Linked DNA regions of Struthio camelus. The protein of the gene in region 2 interacts with the protein of the main gene of each other region in a pairwise test. Links are inferred from orthologs where the notes say so. Each region holds a gene or a part of one and is shown on either strand. Other genes may lie near its edges.

Region 1 (15,142 bases), on a different chromosome or scaffold from region 2:
TGACACTTGAGGCAACCTACCTGGCAGTTTGAGATGGTATCAGGGGATTGAGTGCTCTGAGAGTGGTTCAGCAGTCGCCATCAGTCATGCCTTACTTTGCAGTATTGTCCTGTGACTGACACTGGGTACAGAAGGTGGCCTAAAATGCTGCTAGGACAGACCTGCCAATACTGTCTGCTGTAACAGATAAGGTGTTTAGGGTGCCAGAACTCAAGTCTGAGGTCAGGCTTGGGCAAACTGAACTCAAAGTACTGCCTCTTAGCAGCATCCTGGGCTCTTAAAGAGTGCTAAGACTGGCCAGTTTAGATCCAGTGTGGATGTAGCTAGTAGGGCTTGAATAATCCTTAAAAAGCTGTTTCTAAAGTGACTGCCTGAGGGAGAATCATCCTCCCAAGGGAGGGAAAAGAAACTTGAGAAAATGTTCTGTGTGGAGCAGTTAGTTGGGCGAAACCATGAGGAGCTGGAAGGAAGGAAGGGAGTGGGAGCAGCAGGCCAGGAGTTCCTTTACAGGCTTCAAGTTTGAGGGAGTCACTAAAGACTTTAAAAACAAACAAAAAAAACCCTAATGGATGCTACCCCAAAGAAAGGAGGGCTTGCTGGTAACTCTGAACAACTAGCATTAAAATACACCACTGAGCATGAAAGAAGGGGGATGTGATAATCTCGCTACAACTCTCTTCAGCCCCCCCGCCCCCTTTTTTTTTTTTTTTTTTTTTTTTTTTTTTTTGCTAAAAGGGCTGAAGGTGATCAATGGTGAAGAGATCAGTATTGGGTTAAAGGCTTCCATTTTAACCAGCGTAAACATGCTTGGCCCCCCCCCCCCCCCCCAAAAAAAAAAAGGGAGGGAAAGGGGCAAAACATAGCAAAACCAAAAAGAACCCACAAACGATCTCTCATGAGTTTTAGCAACAGCCAGTGTCTTTATCAAAGACTGTTTTGAAGCTGTGGCTATATGAATATGACCGTCATATTTACTGCAGACTTCCAGGGGAGGTACTTGCCCTTTTCCTGTCTCACAATGGAGGGAAGTTGGAACACAGGCTTATACTCAGTGAAATAAGTGATTTAAAAATATTTCAACTTGAATTATTTCTGCTAAGCATGCAACTGAAATGGTTTATTTCTGAAAGCTTCTAACCTGGCAGTCTCTCTGCAGCAGTTAGTTTTGTGAATCTCTGTGCTTTCAGGCTTAAACTAATAGGGGTCGAAGAAATTAATTCTCTCAGAAAAGGCATTGTTGGATCAATATGGAGCTTTATGGAACTATGTGTGTTTTTTTTTTTTTTACTGCCACGAGTGGGAAAACCGATTTGTTTCAGAGAAGAATAAGCATTTCTGTCATTCGGTAGTAACAGTTTGCCAGAGGCTAAAGTGTGAAACATACTGATGGAAAACCACTACTGCGGGATGATGTTTTGCAAGCATCCTGTTGATTGGTGTTTCTAGATAATGATGCTCTGTTTTATCAAAAATATTATGATTTCCTCTTTTAGAAATGAGCGTTCCTGCTCCTTTATTGTTAAAAAGCCTTTTAACAATGCCCACGTTCATGGAGTTGTTGAACAGAACGTTATGGGAAGAGCTGTTGTGAAAGACAGTAAAGAATCTTGTCTTTTCCAGGACAGAGAGAGAATATCCATTACAGAGCTAGTAAGCCAGCCAACTGTTACGTTCCACGGCTGGTCGGACCAGATTCCCTCTAACAGCAATCCACTTACCTTAAATCTCCTCTGTCCTGGGTTCTACCGTTCTCTTTGACAACTTGCTCTGAGATTTGCACATCCTCCATTAGAGAAAATGCTCATCTGTGCTCTAACACGTCTGTTCTCATTTCAGAAATCTACCGCATTGTTTCACAGAAGCAGATTGCAGATCGATCTGCACACGATGAGTCTCCCGGCAACAATGTAGTTGACATCAGCGTCCCACCAACCACCGATGGACAGAAATCCAACAAACTCCAGTGCTGTCAGAACCTGTGACCTCCTGTAGATGACTTTTGTGCCCCTCACTTCGTCTGTGCTTCATTTAGAAACTTGTGTGCACTTCTTTATCTCCTGTGATTCAGTGACTCCCTCTTCCCTCTTTCACCCCATCCTCAAGCCCCTCCTTTCATCTTAGAGCTTTACTTGTAGGGCTAACATTCTCCTGCCTCTGAAATCCCCTTAAATGTGATGACTTTTGGGCTTGAAATATAGGCACTGATCTGATAGACATGTTTTGTGTTGGAACATCTGCTGCTGGATATTATCCCATGAAGCACTCTTCTCAAATGGTTTTGGTTTTTTGTTTTTTTGTTTTTTTTCTGAGAGAGAAACCATGGGGACTTGATTATAACAGTTGAACAAATAACTACATTTAGGTTACAAGGTTTTTTTCCTCTCGTAGTCAGATTTTTCTCTCATGTCTCTATAAGCACGGGGGAGAAATTAGAAGAAAATAGCTGTCCTGCCAAATGCTCTGTTCTCTCTCCTGATAAGTCTCACAGTGAGGTTTTTAGTGGCTGCACACATAAGAAAGCTGTTGAAAATAACATTACTTATTATGTAATTACCCCTAATACAGTTAGTCTGGCTGTGTAGTTTACTGTTTTCTGCTTGGGAAATTTTTCTCTATTCTTGTTTTATTTGGGAACAATGAAGTACGTCTGCGTTGCTTTCTCTGCCACCATGACTGCCTGTGCTGCTTGTTCAGGCTTTATGAAGTGGCTTAATATTTATTCATGGCTTATGTTAATCAGTTAATGTTATTGTACAGTAAGTGCCAGCATATTGATTTCAAAAACCTTTTGCAACCTATACAAGTAGGCTCATTTTGTACTGTAGATCAGTGTCTGAAAGCAGGATCTTCTCTAGTTCAGAATTCTTTTGCATGCTGCTTCTTCTCTAGATCTCTCCTACCCCTGTTTGAGTGAGTGAAGCAATATTTTCATGTCATGTATATACCTGCACTTGTAAGGGTTTTGGTTGTTGTAGAGAAACACAATACTTTATACATTTTGTAAAACTTCTGCAGAACCATAGCATCTTGAACTTTCTTTTCATGATCTTTCACTATTGATCTTGTGCATAATCTTCTTGACCTCTACTAAAAGGCATATTAAGATTTCACCTACTATTAACCTGTTGCTTCCCTCTTACCCTGTTTTACTGAATTGCAGACTGTAATTCTCAAAAGATTGTAATTCACCTGATGTAACAGATTTGTCATCAGCAGGGCTAACTGCTATAATATTTTGTTTTGCTGAATGGGAGGAATGTTATCACAACTTTGTGTAGTAAGTCTCTTGCTAGCTTGTGAAAATCCTCTATGATGATGGCTTTTTGTCATTCACTCTTTACACCCTTGCATCCCTCCAGTAAACACTGAATGTTACGATGAGGCAAATACTGGGGGAAACTATCTCAAGGAAGAGTTGGAGACCATCTGCTGCTCTCTGGAGGCTAGTGAAGCAATTTGCAGTGAATTTTTGCTCTGTATTCTTCCAAATTCTGAGACTGTGCCTCACTTGATTAATACTGTCTGCATGTTAGTGAGTTGATTTTCTTTTCTGATACAAAGCAAACGTGAAACTGTAAGTTGTGCTTGAAGGGGAAAGCTGACATTCCACTCAACTGTTTTGTGTCTGGTTATGTAATAAAATGAAGGGCGGTTAATTCTGATGGCTTTTCCTTTATAAGATTTCTAGACCAATGCCTTTAATTTTGTACTGTATGCACCTTGAGGGCTGTAGTTCAAAGCTAAGGGTGTACACATCTTGCTTAGCATTTTCAGTTTTCAACTTTGTTTAGAGGATAGGTTCAAAGTAAAGGAGCGCATGCTTTGCAGCCTAATAGCATTGAATGACGATCTGAATTCTTCTTTGGGTGCCACAGGGTTCTGCCCTAAGGGAGTCATAGTATTGGAAGCACTTTCAGCACCTGGTACTTAATTTAATAGCATCCTGTTGAGAAAGGTTCAGCAAGTGGGAACTGGAAACTTCTCCTTTTCGTTGGTCATACAAACAGGATGTGATATGTAGTCAGTACTTAAAATGGTGGCAGGTGAGCACAACATCAGAGAGAGTGGAAATGCTGAGATATTTCAATATTTCCTTCAAGAACAAGTAGTCACTAAAGGAGGCAGGCTCCTTACTCTTAATTTTGAACAAAACTTTGTATAGAGAAATGAGTTGGGATAGTGTGAGGAAGAATTGTGCAGTTAAGACTTAGTCCAGGGTGACTTAATGCATTTACTCTGCAAATCCTGTTCTTAACATGAAGCTTTTGTGCATGAAGCTCTCTGCTGGTGGCTAGGATTGATCTGAAATGGTTTAAGAAGCCGAGAAGTAGTTTAATCAGTTCCTGGTCTATTAAAAGAAATTTTCTGTAGACTTTTCCACAAAGTCAAAGACGAAACTTTGCCTCAGAGTTGCAATGAAAGGTTCACGCCTTGGGCTTAAGTGCTGTTAGATTGGATGGGTATTGAAGAGACCCTGTACAACTTCACCATGCATTGACCAAAGCCGCCTTGGAGCAAGTGGCTCTGTGAAGTTGAGGGCGTTAGACCCATACGCGCTACAATGGTTGAGGTGTTTCTGAAAACTGTTCTGTGATTGACGTGGAAGGCCTGCTGTCTTTTGCTGCAGAGCTGTTTATCTTACCGTGGATTGGTCTGCTTAGGATGTGGGGAGCATACGTGTATACGTGCATGTGTGCACATGCAGAGGTTTTGTGAGTGCTGTATGCTAAGTGGTGGTTTTATCTGCCATGGTCAGTCTGTTTCTTAGAATAGGTATTGATTCTTTCCTAGATTGCTTTGCTGCTTTCCAGGCAGTTAGAGAAGCAGACCTCCTTCTGTGAGTTTGAGATGATTTTGCATATACTAAGCACAGGGATAACAGTGCCAAAAGAAGACAGTGGACAGTTTGTTTTTTCCTGGGAAAACTACATTCCTGTGCACAAACAGGGAAAAAGTTTTTGATCTTTTGATCCCTGAATATCCTAATTAAAGCACTGTATACTTAACAGAAGCTATAGCTACAACCAAAACCACTACTGGTAACGGCTGCTGCAGTTGTGCAGGGAAGACTCGGAGGAGTCCCAAGGGAATGCTTAAGAGCTGTCTAAAAAGAATTTCTCTGATAGGCCACACTCTTTACCATGCTTTCCTGACGTGGAAGCAACTGAGTTAAAATGTAACCTCAGCTGGACTGCTTGATGTCATAATTTAGCTGGCTCCATATCTCAAAATGTGTCAGGGATATAATAAAGGCTCCAGTTCTCTTAAGCATGTTGTAAGAAGCTTGGAGGCAAAATCTGGCTTATGGTAAAACCTCAATGACTAGAAAGCTGCCTGTGAAAGAAAAACGTGCTATACTTACTTCACTCAAATATTGATATTTTTCCTAAATTTTGAAAGATAACACTAAAAATTGTTGCTTACCACCCTGGGTTAGTAACGTAGTAAATGTTAGTTGAAGATCCCTGCTAGGACTGAAATTAGATCCACCAATGCAGAAGATAGGTGTATTTTTTGCTAATTCCCCTTTTAATTATGGGGAGAGGAGAGGCCAGAATTAACATGTAAGAGATTTGCTGCTGAGCACACAAATAGGTAATCTGGTTAAATAAACTCATTGGGGAGATTGCCTCAATTTAGCTTTTTTGCCAGTTGAGTGAAGTGCTTACAAACTGCTTCTGTGACACTAGGTGAGTTAAGGAAGAAGTTTAGAATCACCTTAGAGCTAGCTCTCCTGTAGCCCCCACAGGACAAGAAAACTTGGATCGGAGGAAAGTTTTAAAGCACTGTGATTGTGTAAGTATAAAACTGCAGTTGATGGGGGTCTGCTGAGGCTGCTTGATGCTTTATTGAAGAGAGGTGTGTGTGCGCGCCTCAGAGGACCATCAAAATTGGGTAGAAGGAAAAGGAACTATTATCCCTTCTTCCCACTTCAGCTGCTCCTCAGTGCTTTGGCCAGGTTAGAAGCAGTAGAATGACTGCTGTGTCCCAAGATCCCCAGCTTGGGTGCTGTGATATTATTTTGCTAGATCAGTTCTAATAACTGCACAATATGTAGAAAGGCTGGTAACTTTTGTGCTAACAGGAGGGAGCTCTCTCAGCTGGACATACCAGGATGCTTAGGATTAGTCTGTGCCTTTTATTTAAGCAGGTCACTCACCAAAAGCAATTTGATCAGCCTGGAAAAATGTACAGTAGGTATTTTGACTTCCTGATGCTTTGATTCCTGCATGCTGTACAGTTCCAAAAGTTGTGGATGTGATCTGTTTGTGGGGTGTTTGGTTGATTCTTATCTGTGCTTGGTGATAAGTTTTTTTTTCCATTCCAAGCATGAAGGTAGAATTTGCTTAGAGGTTCTGATCTGTGTAGAAAAAAATACTAATGAAGTGATCTGAGCACTTAAGGAGGCTCTTTTCCTTCATATAATGTGAAGAAAAACAGTATTAAGGGTAGGGGCCTGAATTTCAAATAAGAAAAATCAGGCAATTAGAGGTGAAGACTAACTATCCTTTAAGATACAGTGGGTCAGGGCTGAGGCCAGATTCGTTTGACTTTTAGACTCTGAATACAGTGATACTGCAGATAATTCAGTTTCAAAGGTGATTATTATAATGTTTCCATGGAAAAATAGTATCTCCAGGGCTGCACTGTTTCAGTAAATAACAGCAATTCTTATTTTAAAACAGTCAGATAATGTGCAGTAGTGTTTGTCTATCAGGCTTTATAGGCTATATATAGCACTGGACCTTTATGCAACCCAGAAGAGAGATTCCTTTCATTTACTTCTACTCCTGGTTCCTATTCAGTTAAGTGCAATTCACTTTGTAAATATATACATCACTTGATTTTTGTGCATGGTTATTATGTATTGTGGATATAAAGATTGCCAAATCATATTGTGTGTGTAAAGTTCTGTTTCAAACCTGACTGTAGAATGAAGTGGGAACATAACTTTGGCTTTGGAGCCAGTAAGTTACCACATCCAAAGTGCCATAATTGATATTAGCATTAGCAACCCTGCCATTGCCAGTGGCTGGGGGGGGGGGGGGGTGTGGCAGGGGGGTAGTGGAAGTCAAAGCATGTTATTAATGACCTTTGGTATCCATTACTTGTAAGAGCAGATGTTCTCAAACTGGTTCTTCCCATTGTCTCAGTATGGCTTCATTATATGCACATATTTTTTTTTTCTTCCCTTCAAAATGCAAATGCTGTCCATCCAGTTGGTCTTTGAAGGTCTTCCTGGTGCCCTCTAGTACCTGGCCTGGCAATACGAGTGCTAACTCCAGTGTCTGCTCAGGAGGAATGAGCACATCTAGTGCAGCTGCAGGGAACCGAGGTGGGATTGTTGCATTCATGGTCTTCCATGGAAGGATGGTGTAATCTGGCCTTGTTTTAAGTTATCTGCTCTTCTAGAGACAAGTATTTAGAATAAGGTTGATCTGAAGTCAACACTGACTTAAGGTGCAGGACTCGAATGAGTTGTGCACAAAGGGGTTAAAGGGGGAAGTTCAAAGATTTCTTTGGTAATTCCCACGTGTGAGGAAGAATCCCAACTCCTAGGAAGCCTCCTGGTGAAACCCCAAGTGGGGAGGGAGGCTACAGTGGCCCTGACACGCTCCCGCTTGCTGTGTCATGCCTCACCTTGGTCAGATGATTTGGGCCTCCGCCTGTCCACTCCCCTTCCAACTTCGCGAAGCTCTGGATGTGCGGAAGAGGAGGCGCAGCTCGCCCGTGACCAAGAAGTGGGGAAAGCAGCTGCCCTCCGCCCCTCGGCTGCGGGACCGCGCCGCGCCCGCCCCCGGGGCTTCCCCCCTCCCTTGCTTTCCCGAAAATGTCGCCGTGGGGAGCCCGGAGCAACCCGCAGATGACGCTACCGAGGCCGAAGCTCGCAGAGGGCAAATGAAGCGTTGTAGCTGCGCCAGTGCCCGGTCCGGCAGCTGCGGTACGGGCCAGAGGGGGGAAGCGCCGGCCCGAGCGGCGGCTGCGCCCCGGGGCCGGGCGGGGCGCTCCCCCCCCCCCCCCCGCCGGGCCGCTATTGGCCAGCCGCTGTTGCCAGCGGGGTCGCGTTCCGACGCCGGCCGGCTCCGCGCAGCCCATTGGGCGGGCGGGCTGTGGCGTCAGCGCGGCGCGGCGCTCGGTGCGCCGCCGTGACGGCGGCCGCGGGCGGGGGGGGGGGGGGGGGGCGGCGCCCGGCGGCCGCAGGAGCCGCGCGAGGCGGCGGCGCGGGCCGCGCTGAGGGGCCGCGGGCGCCGGGACCGCAGGTAGCGCGCGGGGGGAGCGGGGGGGCCCGGCCCGGCTCGCGGCCTGCCCGCCGCCGCCGCCGCCGCCGGCAGGACCCGTCTGCAGCCGGGCTGCGCGGGCCGGCCGCTCTCCGGTGCGGGGCCGGGGACGATGCCCGGGCTCCGGGGCGGGCGCCCCCTTCGCGGGCGGCCGGGGAGGCTCCCTGGCCGCGGGAGGGCGGCTCGCCGCCGGCCTGACGTGGGAGAGGCGCGGGCTCGGGGTGCGCGGCGCTGGGCAGAAACGTAACCTGGGGGAGGGAAGGCTGGGAGCTGCGATCCTTTATTTGTCTGTTCCTCTGTCTTTTTTTTTCATTGCCGCGGCTGTGAATAATTATTTTTGGAAAATGTTTCCTTATAATTGGGGTCTCATGTTTTTCCTCTTTTGGAAAGACCTAGCGCGTGTTTTTGCCCCGCTGCGTGGCGTGACTGGGGAGGCAGCGCTTGCCCGTAGTGCCGTCTCGCAGAGCGAGCTACAGCGATTTCCCACGAAGCGCGGGTCGGTGTCGCAGTAAAACTGAAGAACTTCCTGCGAAAGGGCTTCGGAGCACCGGTTTTCTCCCTCTGTGGCATGAACTTAGAGTTTGTAATTGACTTTTTTTAAATTGGAACCAGTAACTCTCTCTGTTTTGCTGAAATTAGCCTTCTTGAGGCAATTTAACTGCTAGTGGCGGAGGCCAAGGTGGCTTGTTTGTGGGATTTGTCCAAGGGATGAGCTTGTGGCTTGCGTGCGGGAAGGTTGATTGTGGCATTGGAACTGCTTTTCTCATTGTCTCAACCATTTACTTGAGCCCATTTTCTATCTAATGGGGAGATCAAGATTAAAAACCAAAAAACCCCTGCAACGGTCCTTTGGCTGAGACTTCTTGCTTATCTGTGCAATTGCCTGGCTAGTTGGTAACCCACAGAAATGGTGCTCACCTAAACGCGGCCTGACATATCTGTGCTGTAGGAAGTTATCACTATTGATGAGCGTTAAGGTTGTTTTACAGCTTGTCATCTCAGAGCAAGTTGTGCAAAGCTCAGGGTTTTTTTTTTTTTTTTTAAAAAGAAGATGAGATGGTTTTGAAGTCAGGGCTGACAGTGACTTCCTGGAAATGCCAGGGTCATCTGGAGCAGATCTGGCATCGTCAGGTGTGTTTGTGTTCAATGTAGTTATCCCCAAAGTGTCCGGAGACTGGGCTGGCCTCTCCTGAAGGGTGTGCAGTGAAGATCTGTCAGTGGGGTCCCGCTCCTCATCACACCCTGTACCCTTTATTTGCTTGCGCTCAAAGGACTGTGTGTATCCGAGCTCCTCCCCTGACTTGCCTCCCCAGCTTTTCTCCCCTCCCTGTTACCAGTCCTTGTTTCAGGCTTTCATTCTCCCATTCCGCTTTCCTTCCAGCAAAACGCTTTTCTCTGTCTTTCCCTTCTGAAATAGCTTCTAGCATTTTCTTAATCTTCTAGACCTTTTTCCAGATTCTTGTCAAGAAGGCCTCTGACATGGTGCTGCTGCAGGTCAGCTCCGATGGCCGTGGCCAGTCCCCTTTATCCACCCTGCTCTTGGGAGCGTACAGCCCTGCCTGGTTGTCAGGCTTACACGTGCACCAAGTAATCCTTCGAACAGCTGGATGTTAGCCTTGTCTTTCCAAGGCTTAAGTGTTTAAGGATTATGGAGGCAGCTGCAGCGGAGAGGGGAGAGTAAAGCCCTGGTTTTCCAGGTGCATTTGAAACTATGACAGTACTTTCCCCTTCAGAAAGGGGTTTGAAGAGAGAGGAGCTGCGACTGGGAAATCCCTTTGTCATGTGCTCTGTACAGTGAATTTAATAACTCAAGTTGGGAACACAAGGCTTAGCAACCCACAAGCATGGACCGTGGAGCATTACAGGCCAGCCTGCGTCAGAAAGGAAGTCTTAACTTTGCCAGGTGTGGACCAGGTGGCACAGGAAACAGCCAAGCATGTGCTTAAGATCTATACCATGAACGTTAAATATCAGCTGTAAAATCGGGATCAGAACAGGTACACTGTGTGATTAGCTAATCGCACTGCTGGCAGTCTTTAAGAAAACATATGAAAACAGAAAAAAGCAATAGAACTAATGATCTCTTGTTTCCAGCATGCTTGACTGCCTTTGTTTCCAGCAGAATTACACTGAGGTCGCCCCATGTTGGACACCAAGGAAACCATGCAGACGAGCAGTGTTATGAATGTACTAACTGCAAACAACTTCTGTTGGAGTTTTTTGCTTTAATAGATGCCAAAAAGGGGGCTTTCCCACTCTAGGTTATTGATGCTGGCCTGAGTCAAGCAAGTGCAGGACACAATGCTTCCCTGAGAAGAAGTTAATCAAGACTCCTCAAAGCAGCAAGTACAAAAACAACCCAAACCACTCCTAGCGCAGGCTGGGAAATGAAGAGATTGATGCTCGAGGTGGCCTCTGAGGCCCTGTTAGTCATGAGGGACTGTTACAAGTCCTCAGTCTGTGGCTTTGTAGTAGTCCCACTGGCTGAGCTGCAAAATATCATGAAAAAAAAAAACAACTGAAGTTACATTAGTCTTTAAAATATCTTGACTTTTTATACTAAAAAAAAGCAGAACCTTAGAAGAATGAAGGGAGGAATCAGGCGTCCTGAACTGTAAACTACCAGATGAGTTTATTTTTCCCCTGCTTGACTTTGACTCAGCTTTGGATGTTTGGAGATCTCGGAGTTTCCATTTTCTAAACTGCTCACTTTTTTTCCTCCAGAATAAAGTTCATAACTGTTGTCTTTTTAGCCTCTTCCCTCACCAGTTTTATTTACTCGGTTTAACTTACACTTCTGCATGCTCTTAGTGCAAACTCTTACCACGAGAGAGGAATGATCTCCGTTTACTTATGTTTGCCCCCTGGAAGATACACTAACCACTTCTAGGTATCCTTGTACAAGACAAGTCGTATGACAAATAAAGCTGTGGGTTTCTTTTGTGATCCGAATCAATGTTATGTTAGCCAAGTGCTTCAATGAAGTTCACGTAAAATGGCTTTCCTGTGTAGGAACTATACAGGACAAAAGCCTAAACTATAGCCTAAGCTGTGCTGAAGCACAGTTCATGGCTTATTGGGAAAGTTAATGTTATGCACGTGAGTAGCAGGTTTTCCACCTGTCCAAATGTAGGCTCTCATGGTCTTCCCTGCTCTCTGGTCTGCTTAAACTGTGGCAGTACCATTCCTGGGCGGATGCTCTCACGCTTGCCCTGTTGTGTTTATACCGTATTTGCTGTTGGACCATATTGTGGCTGCAGCTCATCAGTGTCGCAGCCGTACAAATGCCAAGAAATGCAGCTCTGCTGGGAGAGGTGGTTACCCACTTAACTTGAGTATTTGGGAGACCACTCTGCTGTTTTATTTCACTGCATAAAAGTGTGGGGAGATCCTGCCTTCTTACAGTTTTGATCACTTTTTACTATGCTGGAAAATGTCTTTTCATAGCTGTACTGGTTACAGGTTATAAAAAGTCTGAATGCGATGGTAAAATGCAGAATAAAACACATCCTCAAGGCACAAGCTGACAAAATATCTCTGAGTAGGAGCTGAACCTTTCATATCCACTGGCAAAGAGAACAGCCTGACATCAGGTGTACCAACCTTCTGGAGCTCTTCCTACCTGCCAGTCGTGCAAATGCATTATTTGCCCCAGACCTCTCCAGGATAAAGAGTGTTACAATTGATTTGAATTGAACTGTGATTTGTCCCCGTTTTCAATCAAAACGTGCATTTGTAAATTTGCTTTACTTTCAGATGTTAAGTAGCAATTTTAAGTAAACTTCTTAACTTTCCAATTCCTGATCTAATGCAAGATGATAACATGTGGTTAACCTCAGGGGCAAACATAGCTTAGCTATTAAACATGCTGTAGCTGTTGTTGCAATTTTAATCAGTTGACGTGAAGTCATGGTGACAGACTGGAGAAAATGTTCTCCTGCTGTCCTGAAAATTAAGATATTTTTTAGAGGGGGAAGGAGCAGTATTGGCTTGGGAAACACAGCAAGCACAAACAAACAAAATGTAGTTTCTAAAACACCTCTCAGAACTTCAAAGAGGGGAATGTAGGAAAGCTCTTGCAGTCTTGGCTTTACCACCTGTTGCCGTAGAAGTTTTGATCGCTCTAGTCCTGTTCTAAGTACAAATTATTAGGGTTTGGGTTTGTGAGAGGGGAAGCTGCTGTCAGCAGTTTGCAAGGTAAGCTACAACTCTGGACTCTCCTCAACCTTTTTTCCCCCGCTCCCAATTTTTCTTGTACTTCCCTGCAGACAAATCAGTCAAAGCCTTTGCTTTCAGAAGAACTGTGAATGCAGCCTAAGCAAAATCTTCCAAACTGAATTGGGAAGAAGAGAGAGACGGGGATTTTGCAGCACTTTTGTGAAGTTTTGCTTCGGAGTTGAGGGAATTTGTAGTGATAAAGAGTGGGTAAAGGGAGGACATGGACTAAATCAGTTAAGATCAGTTAATCCTGTTCATTGACTGACCATGCAGGAAGAGGATGCCCAAAGTTCATGCCCGCTTTGGAGATCTTCAGGTGCGGATGGATGGAAGGGTAGAAGGCTATGGCAGTGCCTTTACTGGAAAGCTAAGTGTGCTAAAGAGTACAGGGAACTAATTGGGTTGCAAAATACAAACAGGCAAGTTAATTTGGGATCAAATATCTCTGTTACAGGATTAGTTTGCTGCCTGGTTTTGAATGGGGGTTACATGCTGGCCGCATACTACTCTGAGCAGTTGGAGCACTCTCTTGTTCTGAGCAGGGTTGCTGCATGCTGGCGGATGGTTTGTTCCAGTTTGTCTCCAGGCAGAGCATAGTTATTTGTGTAACAGTGTACATGGTGCTTTATAAACCAAGAATGAGAACACTGAAGCAAGTGCAAGTTCTTCCTGGCATAGGATTGCAGATCCTGAGAAAATGTTTCGCATCCTTCTGAGTAATCCCCTTTGAGGGAGTGACCTGTCCAATGTTGTGTGGGCGTTTCTTTGTTGATCTGATGCATGTGTTATTGCTACAGTAAAGTTGATGTTTTCCCCTATATTTCCCAAAGCTGGAAAATTCATTTGCTTTGAATAAATTGAAACTGCCTGGCAGGTGACTGCATAGGACAGGGGAGCTGTTGAGCTTTGGCATTACTGCAGAGCCTGCCTCTCTCAACAGGGAGCTGTCTGAAGCTATAGGAATAGGAAGCCGACCTTTTCTTGCTCTTATTTCAGTAGAGGACATAGGTGCAAAGAGAAAGGAAAAGCCACATAACTCCAATGCCTTCAGATGGCAGCAAGGGTAGGCAGGAGCAGGGCAGAAAAGAGATGTGCTTGTGGGTGGTGTGGCAGGGATGTTTTCTCCGCTGATGGGTAATGCTTTTTGCAAGCATTGCTTTTTGGGCACAACAGCCAGGTATTTTTCCCCCTGGTTCATGATTTCAATGAAACTTTCAAGCCTGGCAAAAGCATCTTTTTTTTTTCTCTGCAGACAGAGAATGGTCAAATGCAGAGAGAGGTGGGCATGAAATCAGTATAATTTCATTTATGTCATGACCCATGTTGCTGTTCACTGTAAAAAACCTGATGCTTTCTAAATACAGTGAAAGAGCAGGTGTTTCTCATGTCCCAGCTGTTTTCAGTAGTTTCCTTTTAAAACTTGTTATTAAACTGGCTGAATGGCTGATTTCTGGTTGGAGATGCCCTCTGCAAAGAATTTTCTCCTAATGTTGCAATTCATTTTTCCAGATGTCGGTAATTAAAGTGTAGTAAACTTTCCTTTCACATGGTCTCATGGCAGATAAAACATCTCAGAAGATCTGAGATTACTTTGTTCATTTTGGCGCTGCAGCTGTAAGGCATGGCCTGATCTTTTCCAAGTACAACTTGCAGCAATAAAAAAAATCATCCTTTAGGCTTCTTATTTTTTTACTGATTTTCTTTTCCCCAGTGTGTAAGCTTCAACCTTTTGCTCCTTTTTGAATATTAAGTAATATAATATATTAGGCAATATACTTCTAAAATGAAGTTTCTTTGGGAAATAAGGAGGTGAGTGGCATGAGATGTTCCCTGAACTCTGGGGTAACAGGAGCCCTCCTACATTACAGCTCTGCTGTGTTCATACAAGGCTGGGAAGGAAGCCCACCCCTACAACGTTGTTTGAAAATTAACGTTTCTTCTTTGCCAGTTGCTAGTTTGCCAGTGTTGCAAGACATTGATAACATACGGCTGGTTGATCAGGTAGGCTGAAGGTTTTGGAGAGGAGGGATGTGTATGAATGCATACTTTGGGAAGTTACATCATAAGGATCATGAATGCTCGCTATAATATTTCCTTACCAGCAGAGAATGTAAGTCAGATCCTGGCAATCTGTCTGTTTGAAAAAGAAAAAAAATCACATTCTTTGGAATACTATCTTCATCTGTGTTTGGAAAACAAACTCACTTAGCATCAAACCATAGTCTAAATAATCAAGACTTAGGACAGCCTTTGGAATGTGTCTGAAAAGTGGCCTGATCTAGAGACTGCAAGTTTTGATCATTTGTCCACAGCAAAAGCCCAGTAAGTGAAGGCTTGTGCTACTGTTTCAGGACTTCTGAATTGTATTTATGACAGTAGTTGGAAGGCAGCTGGGCCAGGCCCTTATAGTGATAGGTAACGTAACCATGTAACAAAAACAGGAGTCCCAAAAGGTTGTTCCCTATAAGCTTCTCATCCCCTCTGGATGCTGGCTTCATGGTTAAACTTGGAGCATCTTATGAACTTTAGAAATTCAGCCATAGGGATGAGGGAGGTAAGCCCTCCTTGGACAGTGGTGTTACTTTACAGTGCACTCAGTCTATAGCTTTTGCTTATAAAGGTGTAGGAAGAGGCTGTTCCTGAAG
Region 2 (14,190 bases):
GGGGCGAGGGACGCACCGCCCCGCGCTCCGGCAGGCCCCGCGCCCGCCCCGCCGCCTCTCCGCTCCCTGGCGCGCGCCCTGCTCCTGCCAGCGCCGCCGGCCGCAGCGCCCGGGGAGCCCTGCCTCGCGGGGCAGCGCGGAGACGGACCCAGGCCTCCTCCCCACGGAGCGCTGCACCCCGCGACACCAAACAGCTCAGGCCGTTCGGGAACTGCTAGGGAAAAAGCTGCCGCGCGGAGGGGAGCAGCGGAGGCAGCAGCCCCGGTGCCATCGCCCAGCGCGCCGCCGCCCTCTCCGGGCAAGAGCCGAGTCCCGACGGCTCCCGCAGGCCCGTCACCGCTCTGCCTGGTCGCCGGGCGCGACCCGCTCTGCGCGGGGCCCAACGCCGGCAGCGCCCGCGCTCGCGAGGACGGAGCCTGGCAGGCAGCGGTGACCGCCGGCCCGGCCCCCGCCGCGGCTCGCAGCCCCCGGGCAGGCCACGCGGGGCGGCCGTGCTCCCCCGCCGCGTCGCGGGGAGCGGAGCCGCGGGCTGCCTCGGCGGGAGGGAGGGGGTCATCGGAGACCTGCAGCCCCGCGCAGGTCTCCCCTGCCAGAGGGGCAGCCAGACCCCGAAGAACCGCAGCGGCTGCCAACGCCCCTTCTCGCTGCCGTCCCAACAGCGAGTCCAGCTTAGGCAGGTGCTGCCGGGCGGCGCTGCCCGGCACCCGGCCGGGACGTCCCGAGGGCAGCGGCCGTGCGCCTCCCCAGCGCCTCCCGCCCTGCCGGAGCCGGCAGCGCCGGGACCCTTCTCCTCCACCTGGGCCCCACGGCAACGACGGCCGCGCTCCCGTCTCACCGGCACGCCGGCCGGAGGAGCGCCCGCGCTCGCCCGCCGTCCGCCCGCCCCGGCGCTGCAGGCAGAGGTGGCGCAGAGAGCGCGCCGGGACGGCGTGCCTTCGAGGACAGCGTCCAGGCACCGAGCCGAGGCCAGGATCCTTTGAGATAAGGACCCCGGGGCCTCTCGCTGCGGTGCTGCCAGAAGCACCCAGCCCTCCTCCGCCTCCCTCCTCCAGCCTGGCTGCTCCATCCTGTCCCAGCAAAACAAACACCCCCAGGATCGGCTGCAGACGACTCTCCCGGAGGGAGAGCGCGGCCTCCTCCCTCCCCTGCTCTTCCCAGCGGGCCGCTCAGGCTCTCCTGCCAGGGCCAAGCCTGGTCCTGCCGCACGGGCGCTGGGATGGGCTCCAGGCGCGGGGAAACGTGCCCAGGCCAGCGCCTCCCATCCCAGCCCGGGCTGGCGCGCTGCAGGTGCTGCGCGCTCCTGCTCGGCCGGCAGCTCGGCAGCCAGGTGGAGAGGTGCCAGCCCGCAGCAGTGGCGCGGCAGAGGGCCGGCGCTGCCCAGCCAGGCGCGTGCAGCACCGCGCCACGCCGGCTCGCGGGGGCCCAACAGCCCCGTCGCCCCCGCGGCCCCCGAGCGGGCGGCTGGCACAGAGGCCGAGCCCGGGAAAGGCTTCGGGCAGCCAGAAAAAGGCTGGTTTCACCTCAGCCCGGCCCCCCGCGCTCGGCGGTCTCTGCAGCGGCCGGCTCCAGCCGAGTGCTCCCCGCGTCGCTCTGCGCCTCACCCGGCCCCGCGACCTGCTCCGAGACGCCTCCGCGCGCCGACCGAGGCCACCCGCTCCTCCGGCGCCGCCAGACCCCGCAGAGGGGCCTGGCCGCTCACCCCTCCTGCCCCCGGGACACCCCAGAGCCGGGCGCTGCCCGGCGGCTCCCCGCGTGCCCGGGGCGGCCGGGACGGGGCAGCGAGCCGCCCCGACGCGGCCACCTTCCCCGCCCCGCGGCCGCTCGCAGGCAGCTGGCTCGCAGCAGGGCCTTGACACTGCAGCCGCGAGTTGTGCAACTTCCTCTGGGATTTCACCTCGAGCTTCCTTCCTGCCAGAGCCAGCGCAGCTGCCAGGGCGCAGCAGAGCCTCCGAGCCGGGGACAGCAGCGGCCCGTCGCTCGCCCCGGCCCCCTCAGCCCCCCACCCGCCCCGCGGCGCGCCGGCGAACACCCGGTCCTGACCGGCGGCTCAGCCGGTCTCACGCGGCAGCCCCGTCGGCGGTGCTCCGACTGCGCCAGCGCCGCGGGACCTCCCCAGGCCCTTCCCTGCGGCAGCTGCGCCGGGACGGCGGCTGCGCCGGGACGGCCGCGTGCGGGGGAGCCGTGCGCCCGGCCAGGCAGCTGAGGCTGCAGGGCGGAGAGCCCTGCCCTTGCGGTGCCCGAGCCGCGGCCCAGCACCGGGCCAAGAAAAGCGCTGCCGACGGGGCCGCGACAGCGGTGCCGGGCAGCTTTCACCGCGCTCCAGCAACAGGCGCAAGAGACCCTGGGCGGCTGGAAGCGGCCTGCCGGCAGGGGAAGACAGCAGCGGAGCCCGGTGTGCCACCCCAATGGGCGGGCAGCTCTGCCGGCCGCCGGCCGGGCCCCGCGGCTCCCGCGCCCCAGCACCGCAGCCTTCGTTAGCGGAGCCAGCGCCGCCCGCACCCGCCGAGGAACGCGACCAGCTGCCGGCGGCCCGGAGCGCGGCACAGCCGGGGAGCGCGCTGCGGACAGCCCGGCGCCAGCGGGAACGGCCGCGCTCCTCCGCGGTCACCCCGTCCCGCCACCCCGCCAGGAGGGCGGCCGAGGCGGCACACGGCACCTGCGCGGGCCGTGGGAAAGCGGGCGGCCGCGGGACCCGCTGACACGCGCTTGGACGGGCGCTCCAGGGCCGAGGGCGCAGGGCCGCCGCCGGACGGCTCGCTCGGGGCGAAGCCGGGCAGCGCTGAGCCGTGCCCTCGCCTGGGCGCCGCTCCCGCCGGGAGCGCTGCAAGGGGCTGGAAACGCCTCCGGAGCCGACGCAGCCCACGCCGGCGACCCGGCCCCGCGGCCCCGAAAGGGCGGCCGCCGCAAGGGCACCGGGGCTGTGGGCTGGCTCCGGCCGCCGGCTGCCCGGGGCAGAGCGGAGGGGCGCTTACCGGGCCCAGGTTGAGGAATCCATGCTTCTTGGCCAGCCGGTCCGCCTGCCGGGGCCCCGCGGGGACGAGGACAGCCCAGGTGTTGGTGTAAACGCGCTGGGCCAGCACCTCTCGGGCCAGCAGAGCGAGGGCAACCACCAGCGTCCACAGCAGGAGCAGCGAGCAGGACCTCAGATCCATCAGCGTATCGGGGCTTCCTCTAGCTGCGGAGCACCAGGGTCCGGGCAGCGACGGGCCCGGCGGCCTCTTCGGCGTCAGCGCCCCGAGGCGCTCCGGCCCCCGCGCCGCCCCGCTGGCCCCCGCGCCGTCCAAGCGACCATGGGGGCGCAGCCCAGCGAGCCGGGCCCTCGGCGGTACCGGAGCAGCCCGGCCGGGACAGCACCAGGATCTGTGGAAAGAGGGAAGGGCGGTCAGACTCGTCCCGGGCCGGCTCGGCGCAGGCGCCGCAGGGCAGGAGGGCGCCGGTGGGGGCTCGCGCCGCCCCAGCCCGCCGCCCGCGGCACGTCCCGTCTCCGCAGCCGCCCGGCGCTGGGCGAGAAGCCAGGAGCAAGCGGGAGGGGAACCGGCCTCTCCAGTCCCCGGGGGCGACGTCGCGGCGGCTGCGCCAGGCCGGGGAGCGCAGCGGAGCCGCGGCTCGGCTCCGGGCGGCCCGAGACCTCTCTGCTGGAGCCCAACGCGGCGGCCCCACCGCCGCGGGGACACGCGGGCGCCTCGGGAAGGGACCTGGCCGACCGGCCGCGGCGGGGGAGAGCGAGGGGCGGGAAGGAGGAAAGCGGGCGAGAGCCTTGGCCATGTGGTCAGCCGAGCCCCGAGCGCCGCCACCATCTGCCGTCGATCAGACGGCAGCGAGCGCCTTGCTGCCTGTCGCCGTCAACGGCTCCGCTCTGCCCTTCCAGGAGCATAACGTGAACATGGTGACACCAGCGTGACTCATCCCAGCGCAGACAGGAAAGAGCCACAGGGACCGGGATAGAGGACGCGTGCATCTCCTCCGTGCGGGGACCTGCACGCAGGGGCGCTGCAGGACCGCGCACACGGCCTCGGAGGGACCACCGGGAAGGCAGGGTGGGGAGCAGGGCGCCGGTGACCCCACCGAACGCAAAGGAACCTGCTGCGTTAAGGCAGCCGGGGGGAGGCTCTACACACCGAGCTCCAAAGGGATCGCGAGATACCTGGAAGAGCAAGAAAGGCAGGAGCCAGCAACGCGGCGCAGGAGACGGGGCTGGGCCCGGCCGAACGCCACCCCCCTCCCGCCAGCGCAGGGCCTCGGCCCGCAACGAGCCCGCGGCGCCGGCCGGCAGGGAAGCGATTCCCGGCGGCGGGCTGGAGACCCCGCGGCGGGCAGACCGCGCCGCGAGTCAGCCACGCGGCCGCCCCCTCCGCAGACCGGGCCTCGGCCGGCCGAGGCCCCGAGCACCCAGGGGAGGGGAGCCCTGCCCGCCGGATCACGCCAGGCCTAAACCACAGCTCCCGGCGGGGAAAGAGCCTCCGAGCCGCCGGGGAAGGGAACCAGCCAGGGAGCGCGGGGAGCTGAGGTGCGGCGCCAGGGCGGGCGGCGGGAGGCTTCCGCGGGGCGCCCGCGGGCACCCACGGGGGCCGAGCTGCGCGGGGGCCCGGCGCGGCGCCCAGCCTGCGGCGGGACGGACCGGCTTGCGCTGGGCGCCCCGGGCCAAGGGGGTCCGGCCCGCGGAGCGGCCGCCTGGCGCGACACGACGGCGAGGCAGCGCGGCGGCCACGGGGGCTCGGCTGCCCCGGGCATCGCCCCACACCAGCGCTTTGCCCCCCGGGCCGGGCTCGGCTGCCCCGGGCATCGCCCCACACCAGCGCTTTGCCCCCCGGGCCGGGCTCGGCTGCCCCGGGCATCGCCCCACACCAGCGCTTTGCCCCCCGGGCCGGGCTCGGCTGCCCCGGGCATCGCCCCACACCAGCGCTTTGCCCCCCGGGCCGGGCTCGGCTCCGCAGCGGCCCGGAGGAGGCAGCCGGGATGGCGGCGGCCGCCGCGGCGCGGCCGGAGCGAAGTCCCCGCTGGGAGCGGGGCAGATTTCGGCCCGGGGCCGCGGCGCCCCCGGCCCCCCGCGCCCCCCGCCGCCCCCGGCCCCGCAGAGGCCCGAACCCCGGCCCGGCCCGGCCCGGCCCGGCGCGGCGCCCTTACCGCGGCGCGGGCGGCCCTGCCCGCTGTGTCCCGCCGGCGGCCGGGCCCGTCTGGCGGCGGCGGCGCCGCGTCACGCCGCGGGGCAGCGCGCAGCCCCCGCCCCGGACCGAGCCCGGCCCAGGCAGGGGGCGGCCGAGCCGAGCCGAGCCGGGCCGGGCCGGGCCGAGCCGAGCCGAGCGGAGCCGCCTGTTTACGCGCGGCAGCTGTCAGCGCCGCCGCCCCGCCCCGAGCGGACCCGCTCGGCTCGGCTCGGCTCGGCTCGGCCCGGCCCGGCCCGGCCCGGCCCGGCACAGACCCGCTCAGCTCGGCTCGGCCCGGCCCGGCCCGACCCGCTCAGCTCGGCTCGGCTCGGCTCGGCCCGGCCCGACCCGAGCCGACCCGGCACAGACCCGCTCAGCTCGGCCCGACCCGCTCAGCTCGGCTCGGCCCGGCCCGACCCGGCACAGACCCGCTCAGCTCGGCCCGGCCCGGCCCGGCTCGGCACAACCCGGCTCGGCACGGACCCGCTCAGCCCGGCTCGGCCCGGCTCGGCACGGACCCACTCAGCCCGGCACAACCCGACCCGGCACAGACCCGCTCAGCCCAGCTCGGCTCGGCACAGACCCGCTCGGCCCGGTTCAGCTCGGCTCGGCTCGGCCCGGCCCGGCGCGGCGCGGCGCGGCCCGGCGCGGCGGCCGCTCCGCCGGGCGCCGCCGGATGCCGTCACCGCCGCCCGCCCCGCTCCGCTCCGCTCCGCTCCGCCGCGCCGCCGCCCCGGGAGCCGACGGTGCCGTCCCGTCCCGCCCGGTGCCGTCCCGCCCCGCCGCTCACCCGCTCCGCGGCCGGCCCCTGCGGGACCGCGGCGCGACGGCTGCGGCCCCGGGCGGCGCGCAGGAGCCTCCCGCAGAAACTACCGGGAAGGCAGCGACACCAGGAAAATCAATCACGCTCTAGTTTCAAATTTCAGGAGACAGACTCCCACCAAGGAGAAAAGGTGAGAAGTGAACTGCAGTTCATTTCAGCTTTAGTCGTTCTTCAAAACATATACATGTGCACGTATACTTTCATCCCTCACATGCATAGGATCCGCATTAAGAGCAATGCAAAAGCAAAAACCAGCAGAGCCCGAACTGACCTGAATCCTCTGCACTTCAGAAGGGGGTTCAGAGAAGCCCAGGATAAGAGCAGATCTTACATCTCCTGACAAAGAGGAGGAAGTCACTTAGATATCATGACTGAGATTATAAAGCATTAGCAATCGTACAGGAAACAGTCACCTTGGAAACTGAGATGCTGAGAACAACCCAGAAAATCTGGCACAGGGTAGTTTTCTTTGTTAAACTAGGTTAATTTTGAAGGGCAAATATCCGATTCTAACATCGCTTCAGAAACAGAAACTCTAGATTGCCGAGGTGATAACGACATCTGTCCCCAAAAAGTCCCTCCTGGAAACACAAACCGCTTGAGTTCTGGTAAGTCAGAGCTGCCCCCCCCCCCGGGGCCCGTCGTCCGCATCCAGGGGGCACGGCCCCGCACCCCCTCCCAGCTCGGCGATCACCGGCCACCCCACCACAACAACAGGACCGTGAAAAACTGTCCTTTGCGTGCTGCCAGTCAGGGCAGGCCCTGCTCGCTCCCTGGCGGCCCTCCCGCTGTCCCAGTTCCTTGATGCACGGCCAAAGACTCGAGCTGCCCACGGAGACAGGGGTCTCCCAGGTCCACGTGGTTTGGAAGCAGGTCCTACATCCGATGACAGCTCTGCAGTGGGAGCGAAGGAGTGGCACAGGCTGTTCCCCCCCCGGACCCCTGTGGGCATCCTCAGATACATCATGCAGGAGCTTGTGGCTGTGCCCAGGCAGGTGACAGAGCTGCTCCACCTGGATCTTATTGACATACCATGCTGGGGGAGAGGAGCTGACAAAGGGCCCCTTGTCACCACCGCATGCTTATCTCAGTGCTCCAGGGGAGGCAAACGGGAAGCACCTATCTGTTGCATAAACTATTAGCTTTGGAATTACACAGCTGACCTCTCTTTGCTCCTGCCAGAGATGATGCCTGTACCCTGGGAGCACCTGGAGCACAGGGTGAGGCCTCCTGTGTGAATGGGATCTGCTTTCCAGCAGCCCCTCCTGGAAGGCTGCTCAAGAACTGGACAGCAGGGCTAGTGTCAGATCTTACAACCGCTGCTGAATGCTTCTCTCCTTTGCTGTTCCCCTGTAGGCAGCAGCGAAAGGGGATGAAGTAGTTACCACAACAGCGTCTGCAAAAACCCATGAACCTTCCCCTTTAACATTTCACTGATTTTGGTTGCCATTCCTTGGATGTATCAAGGCATTCAAGGGCACAGCCAGGAGCTGGCTGTTCTGCTCAGTGATTCCTAATTGACCATCCTACCAGCAGTGTGTTGCTGCAAGCCAGCCCGCCAGCTACCTGCTAGGCGTGCCATCAGCACGGAGGCTGCACACCATCCCCTGCGGGGCCCACACCGAGGCAAGGGCGAGGCCTCCCTACCCTCATCAGCATCAAACACACGCTCTACGTGGCACAGTCAGGTTGTGCACAAAAATAAATAGAAATCAACTTGCATGTAAAAATCAGGTCAAATTTTGTCCTGGTTGCAGAGATTGCACAAGCTTCAGCAGCAAGGCGACTGCCAGTCTGCCCGAGCTGCCGAGAGGCTGAGCAGTGACGGGGAAGCGCCCTCGTCCACAGGCACCTGCATGGGGGTGACCCGGGGAGTTTGACGGGGCCGCAGCTGAGCTGCGCCTAGCAGCGACAGGGCGAGCGGAGACGGCAAAGCAGGGAAGCGCTCTAGGGGTTCCCGTAAGGAAAGGCAGCGGAGGAAGGACAGAGGCCCTCACAGAGGAGAAAACCAAACAAACAGCAATAACATCACAGAGAGGACATCAAGAGGGACCAAATCAATAACTAAATATTTACTTAGAGCGCAGTGGCCACACTGCCTGCTGCTCCCATGCAACCCTCCCACGGCAGGGGGGGGGCTGAGTCCGCAGCCCTCCGCGTTGCTGCGGACACGTTTCCCCAGCCCCCCCTTCCTGCACAGTTCTGCTCCCTTTCCCAAACCTCGGGGTGCAGATCCCACTTTCCTCTGGAATCTCTCCAACCCCTTCACCTCACGTCACTTCACTGCCGGACGCTACCAGCAGGTTCCTGAGACGGCCTTGGCGCGCCGGGAGGAGGGTGCGGAGCTGCAGCGGCTGCAGTCCCCGGGCTGGAGCTGCGTCTGCAAGGTCCCGATGGCTCACGAGGCGCTATTCATAGTCACGCTCCTAGACATAACATTTTATTGTGGTCACACACATGGGATTCTCGAGATCCACCCCAAACACGCTGACCTTGCCCTGCGGTACAGTTTGCAGACACAAACAGTGGCGGCTCAGAAGGGGGCTGTAACTTTATCTGCCTTCTGACTTTGCCGTCAACAGCCATAAGGCCGCCGAGGTATCAAATCCGCAGCCCGCCGTGCTACCGCCCCTCTTCAGCTTTGCTGCTTTACACCCTGCCACCTCATGCCCTGTGTACAGCTTATCGCTGTTCACGGCAAGGGACACCCCTGTCTGGCCTGAGCACCCCAAGGTCCCTGCCGCAGTCGGGGGTCTCAGCACAAACAGCAGTGCAAACAGGAACACAGGTGCGCGCGCGCAGGAAACACCCGTGCCAGCCCGTGGGCAGGACCCCCTTTTTCTCCTTAGGCTGCAGTGAGGCATGGGGGGTCGCTCATAGATCTCAACAAAGAAATTTAGTCCAAAGCCTGACGGGCAGAGGTTTTAGCCAGCAAGTTGACAACGCAGCAGGGAACGGAGCTGCCCGTGTCGGGTGCCGGGGCGCAGCGAGCTCGCACGCCGCCCCACGGCACCCCGGCTCCGCGAGCGCAGGGAAGGGGCAGCTCAGGCTCGCGCCGCGCCGCCGCCCCCGCCGGAGCCCGGCCCCGTGCGGACCGCCAGGCTGGCTGAAGGCTCGGGGCCGACACGTCGCCGCTGGCGCCCGGGGCCGGGGCTGAGGGGCATCGGTCCCTGGTCTGCGGAGGAAGGCGGCTGGGGCCGCTGCCCGGAGGCACAGGCTCTTGCCAGCCTGCCCTGTCCGCAGGGGATCAGCTAGGGAGGAGCAGCGACAGGACACCGCCGCTCCCGGCCCGGCGCGGGCTGGCTCTCCCTGGCCAGGGCAGGGCCAGGCCGCACCGCAGCAGGCTCCCTCAGCCCCCCTGCACCAGCTCAGGCGACTCCAGCACTCGGTTTCTGCAGCTCGGCTGCGGCTCTCAAGGGCACGCGGGGCAGAGGAGGCACGCTGCGGGCTCCGGGCTGCTTTCGGCCGTTGCTTCAGGCTTCTGCCGTCCCCCAGAACCGAAGCCAGCCAGGGAGAGCCCGTCCCTGTTTGCTGAGGTCTTTAACTCCACCTGAATGGCACATTATGTGCTTTGTGTGCAATTCCCAAGCTCTCCTTTAACAGTTAGGTCTAATTGTTTCACCTACTGAGTCACATGTTGAAGCTCACTCCTTGCCATGGTGACACTGGATTCATTAGGTGGGAACACACTGTGATAACCACACAAGATTAATATCTCATCAGATGATCAAACGCAGAGCAGGGAGCTGGGCCTGGAGCTCCAATTGCCGTCAGGACGTAAATGCCAGAAACACCGAGAGCTCTTGCTTATTCCTGGGCATCAGTTGCTGTAGGATTATAAAGCCACTAATGCCTTGTCTGCGAGGGCAAACCGCAAGCTGGCAGGGCACCGAGGGAGACCCACAGCACTGGGGCCCTGCCCGAGCGCTCCATCCCTCCTCCTCTCGCAGCTCTGCAGCCAGGCTGGCCAAATCCCCCAGCTCCTGTAAGCACAGAGGCTCCTGCGAAGGCAGCAAGGTCTGCCTGGGTCTCGCCAGCAGAAACAGGGATTGTCTGAGACGCAAAGCTACCGAAGAGCGCTGCAGTAAGCACCTTCACGCAGCGCCACGCCACGGGCTGCGCCCGGGATGCCCTGGCCACAGGCAGCCAGCGCTGCGAGATGGGCTGGCTCTGGCGGCGCTGCCCCAGGCCCAGGGGCCTCCTCGCGCTCTCGGCCTGCAGCCAGGGCCTTAGCCACGCTGGCAGGAGCCGCTTTACCCAGCTGGTCCTGCCCCGCCTCTCGCAGAGGGGCCGAGGACAAGGCGAGAGGCTCCCCCAAGACAGAATCCCCCGCAGCGTCAGCCTGGAGACCTCTGCAGCAGCCCTGGGACGCCCCGCGGCCCCCGACGAGCAGAGCCCGGACCCAGGGGCAGTGCTGCTGCTGAGAACCACTTTCTGCCGCTTCCTTCCACACCCCGGACTACCCCGCTCCCTCAGAACAGTAAGTTGCACTGGCTAAATCACATCCTCCCACGAGGAAACCTCCCAGCCTGCAGCCCAGGACACCAAAAGGAAGAGTTTGCTGCCTTTCCTTTGGGAGCATGCTCCAGCGCTGAACCTCCATCTGGGAAAACACACTTGCTTTTGGATTTCCTGGGCATCCACCTCTAGCAATGCCCATCACACCCCGTGGCCTCCGCAACGTGCCCACGAGGGCCCCTGCTCGGGGCTGGGCAGGGCGACCACCTGCCACGCGCACGGCTAACACAGCACTCATCCCTCCCCACTTCCCAAATTCCTGTTACGAGATGTGTCGCAGACTGGCTCAAGTCCTGCAGCTAGGTTTCCTGGAAGATAAAAACCTCTTCCTTTCTTTCAAGGCAGCACAAAATTGCAGACGTTGGCTTGGTGGTTTGTGACATAGTTTTGCCCTACTTCAGAAATCTTGTTTTCCGTGCCACAGAAAAGCAGGGCAGCTCTTGCAAGCTGATCAGTTCCCGAACAGCCGTTTTCCTCTGTGAACTCTAGCACCTCCTCGGAGGCAATGACCGTGGTGAATGCGTGCTTACGTGGGCAGCACCCTGCCACATTCAGAAAATCTTTCTCCCCTGCTATGAAACAGCCACGCCCCCAGGCCCTTCCTGCCACACACATGCCACAAACCTCCCGTCACTTGCACTGGGAAAGCCCCAGGAGGTTCTGCAGTGGTGGCAGTGGGAGAAGCATCTCCCCCCACAGAACAGCAGGAGAGTCCCGCTCCTCCAGGGTAAGTCAGCCTCCAGGTGCTCACGGTGCTGCAGCGAGAAGCGCTGCTGCGTAGGGAGCTGTGAAGGCGTCCTGGCAGCCTGGGAAGACACGAACCCGAGCAGCGAAGCTCCTGCTTGGCTTGGTTTGCTGCTAGTTTACAGAGCAGGAGGGCCCGGGACAAGACTCTGATCAACACAGCAGTGAAAAACCTTCACAGCTCCAGGCTTTGTCTCAGGTCAGACATCAACCCCAAGACCCAGCGTGGCTGGCAACAGGCACAGCACGAACTAAGACCCAGCGTGGCTGGCAACAGGCACAGCACGAACTGAACCCACAGCAGCTTCTGCAGTCGGACCCTACCATCCACCCAAAGAGCAACAGGTTCCCCTGGCCGTGCTAGGAGGAGCTCTGCAGCCCCACCAAGCACAGGATGCGTCCCACAGCCTCAGCAAGACCCTGCAGGAGTTAGAGGGACGGTGGCACCGTGGAGCCGCTGACATCCAATATCCATACAGCTGTACAGCAGCTGCTGGCTCTGCTTTTGCTGCTCATCATCTCCACTTTAGCTGCACAAATGGAGAAGGAGCAGGAACTTACATCACGGGCTGAACATCTTTTCCATTCAGAGTTCAGTCACTAAATTGGAAGAAGGGGGCCGTGAGCATCTGTGCCTCAGTCATCTCTCACCCCATGATGGTGTGCTTTATCTAGAGCGACACTACCTCGGGCAAATAATTCGAAACCCAAAAGGCTGGCAGCAGGCGGAGACCAAGACTCTAGATAGAGCCAAAGGCCCTGAGCACCAGGACGTGGATTAGGGAAGAGGCGACCAGATGCCCCAAGAAAATCGCAGCCCGAGCAGCGGAGGGCCAGAGCCCCAAGGCCCGAGGGAAGCTCCGGCCAGCAGGAAAGGCCTGCTCACGCGTCCCCCGTTCCCCAGCGCTCGAGAGGGCCCTTCGGGGCAACTCCGCACCCGCGCTGCGCCGCCAGCGCCTCCCCCCGCCGCCCGGCGGACCACGGGGAAAACACACGCAGCAGGTGGCGCAGCCGAACGCCCCCGCCCCGCCCGCCGAGGCGCGACGCCGCCCGTCGCCTGGGTGCCGGCGGCGGCGGGGGGCAGCGGCCCGCGGGGGGCGCTCCCCCGGGCGGCGCGGCCCAGCGCCGCGGCCCGCAGCACCCCCGGCCCGGCCCCAGGCGGCACCGGCAGCCGCCCCCGCCGGCCGCTCCCCCGCCCCGCCCCGGCGCGCCGGAAGTGACCGCCGCCAGTGGCGTCACTTCCGGCCAACGGCTCGCGGGGGCGGGAGGCGGCGGTTCCGCCGGAAGCGGGGGCGGCCGCAGTTCCGGTTCCGGGGGAGGAGGGTGCCCGCCGCCGCCAGAGCCGCCGCCGCTGCTGCCGCCGTCCCGTCCCGTCCCGACCCGCCGCCACCATGTCGGTCCCCAGCGCCCTCATGAAGCAGCCGCCGATCCAGTCCACGGCGGGCGCCGTGCCCGTCCGCAACGAGAAGGGTGAGCGGGGCACCGGGGGGGCCGGCGGCGGCGGCGGGGGGGGGAAGCCCGGGCCCGGTGGCGGCCGGCCGGGCCCCGGTGACGGCCGCCCCGCCCGCAGGCGAGCTCTCCATGGAGAAGGTGAAGGTGAAGCGGTACGTGTCGGGGAAGCGGCCCGACTACGCGCCCATGGAGTCCTCGGAGGAGGAGGACGAGGAGTTCCAGTTCATCAAGAAGGCGAAGGAGCAGGAGGTGGAGCCCGAGGAGCAGGAGGAGGAACTCGCCAACGACCCGCGGCTGCGGCGCCTCCAGAACCGCATCAGCGAGGACGTGGAGGAGCGGTGAGCAGCGCCTGCCCCCGGAGGAGACCCGGCCTTCCCCAGAGCCTCTGCCTCCGGCCCCGCTCTGCCGCTGACCGTCACCCAAGCACGGCCGCGCTCTCCCAGCCCTGCGGGAGCGGTCTCCAGCGCTGTTGGCGCGGGTGCTGGATCGTGCCGCGGGCCGCCGCTGTGCCGTGAGCACCCCTGAAAGCCAAGGGTCACGGCAGCCCCGCGTTCAGGAGCGGTTTGGCTGGCCCAGGGGAACAGCGGGTTCTGAAATAAAAATTAACACAGCGACACCTCTCTAGGCTAGCGGGAAGATATGGTTTCATCTGAATCGTATTCAGGGCAGAAAGTATCTGAGCACTGTTTACCTTCCCCCATAGAGGTACTTCAGCCTTCAGCACTAGTAAAGGGGAGGCTTCCCACCAAAAACACAAATGGGGAGGAAAAGCCACTGCCTGGCTGCTCCTGCCTTTTAGGAAAGGACATGCTGTTTCACTCCCAGACTCAGTCGTTCCAGTTTTTACTATGGCCTCATTAAGAACAATTCACAAATAGCCATCTTTCTGCGGTCTCTTTACGCTCAAAGTGCTGTAGTTCAACTAGGGTCTGTTACAGGCTGGCCAGACACCGTAAAATTGTGGAGCCTGAAGTGGTTGGAGACAGCGATTCAGAGGTGGAGGGAGAAGCTTGGCGGCTCGAACGGGAGGACACCAGCGAAGAGGAAGAGGAAGAGATCGATGATGAGGTATGCTTGCAGACCTGAACAGACTTGGCTTAAGAAAGCCCCTGAATGACACAGGCTGGAATAACCCATGTACGTGTGGAAAAGGCTATCTGGTGAAACTAGGGAGTTTCAGGACTTGCAGGTCACTCCATAGCTGGCCATGACTTAACTCTGGGTTACCTGTCTCTTGCTGCGAGGTGGGACGCTGGGTGAGGCCACCTTCCATCCTGAGGGACGGGAACATCTTTTTGTAACAAAGAGGTTCCAGACATGTCACTTCTGGCACAAAGAATCTGAAAGGAACTGGCTTCCTGCCTGAGGCAGAAAGTCTGTGGGGAAGGGAGCGGTAGCAGGGCTGCTCCACTGACTCCTCTGTGTTTGATGCACCTCCGTTAGGAGATTGAGCGTCGCCGTGGGATGATGCGCCAGCGAGCGCAGGAGAGGAAGACCGAGGAAATGGAG

What was found.
Region 1: the proteins of FURIN (region 2) and MARCHF2 interact in a protein complementation assay, tested with the Homo sapiens proteins (2 studies listed by BioGRID). The link is inferred for Struthio camelus from reciprocal best matches to the Homo sapiens genes FURIN and MARCHF2.

What each region holds. Positions count from the first base shown.
Region 1 is NC_090967.1:783,765-798,906, forward strand, and holds the start of MARCHF2 (E3 ubiquitin-protein ligase MARCHF2), read left to right. Parts: upstream 1-7,675; 5' UTR 7,676-7,942; intron 7,943-8,186; exon of another isoform or gene 8,187-8,261; intron 8,262-8,528; exon of another isoform or gene 8,529-15,142. Other genes in the region: RAB11B (ras-related protein Rab-11B), read left to right, coding at 1,837-1,982. UniProt on the Homo sapiens protein: E3 ubiquitin-protein ligase that may mediate ubiquitination of TFRC and CD86, and promote their subsequent endocytosis and sorting to lysosomes via multivesicular bodies.
Region 2 is NC_090953.1:488,749-502,938, reverse strand, and holds the start of FURIN (furin), read right to left. Parts: upstream 6,254-14,190; 5' UTR 6,239-6,253; intron 5,783-6,238; exon of another isoform or gene 5,698-5,782; intron 3,361-5,697; 5' UTR 3,153-3,360; coding exon 2,973-3,152; intron 1-2,972. Other genes in the region: MFAP1 (microfibrillar-associated protein 1), read left to right, coding at 12,621-12,699, 12,800-13,019, 13,620-13,749, 14,125-14,190. UniProt on the Homo sapiens protein: Ubiquitous endoprotease within constitutive secretory pathways capable of cleavage at the RX(K/R)R consensus motif. Mediates processing of TGFB1, an essential step in TGF-beta-1 activation.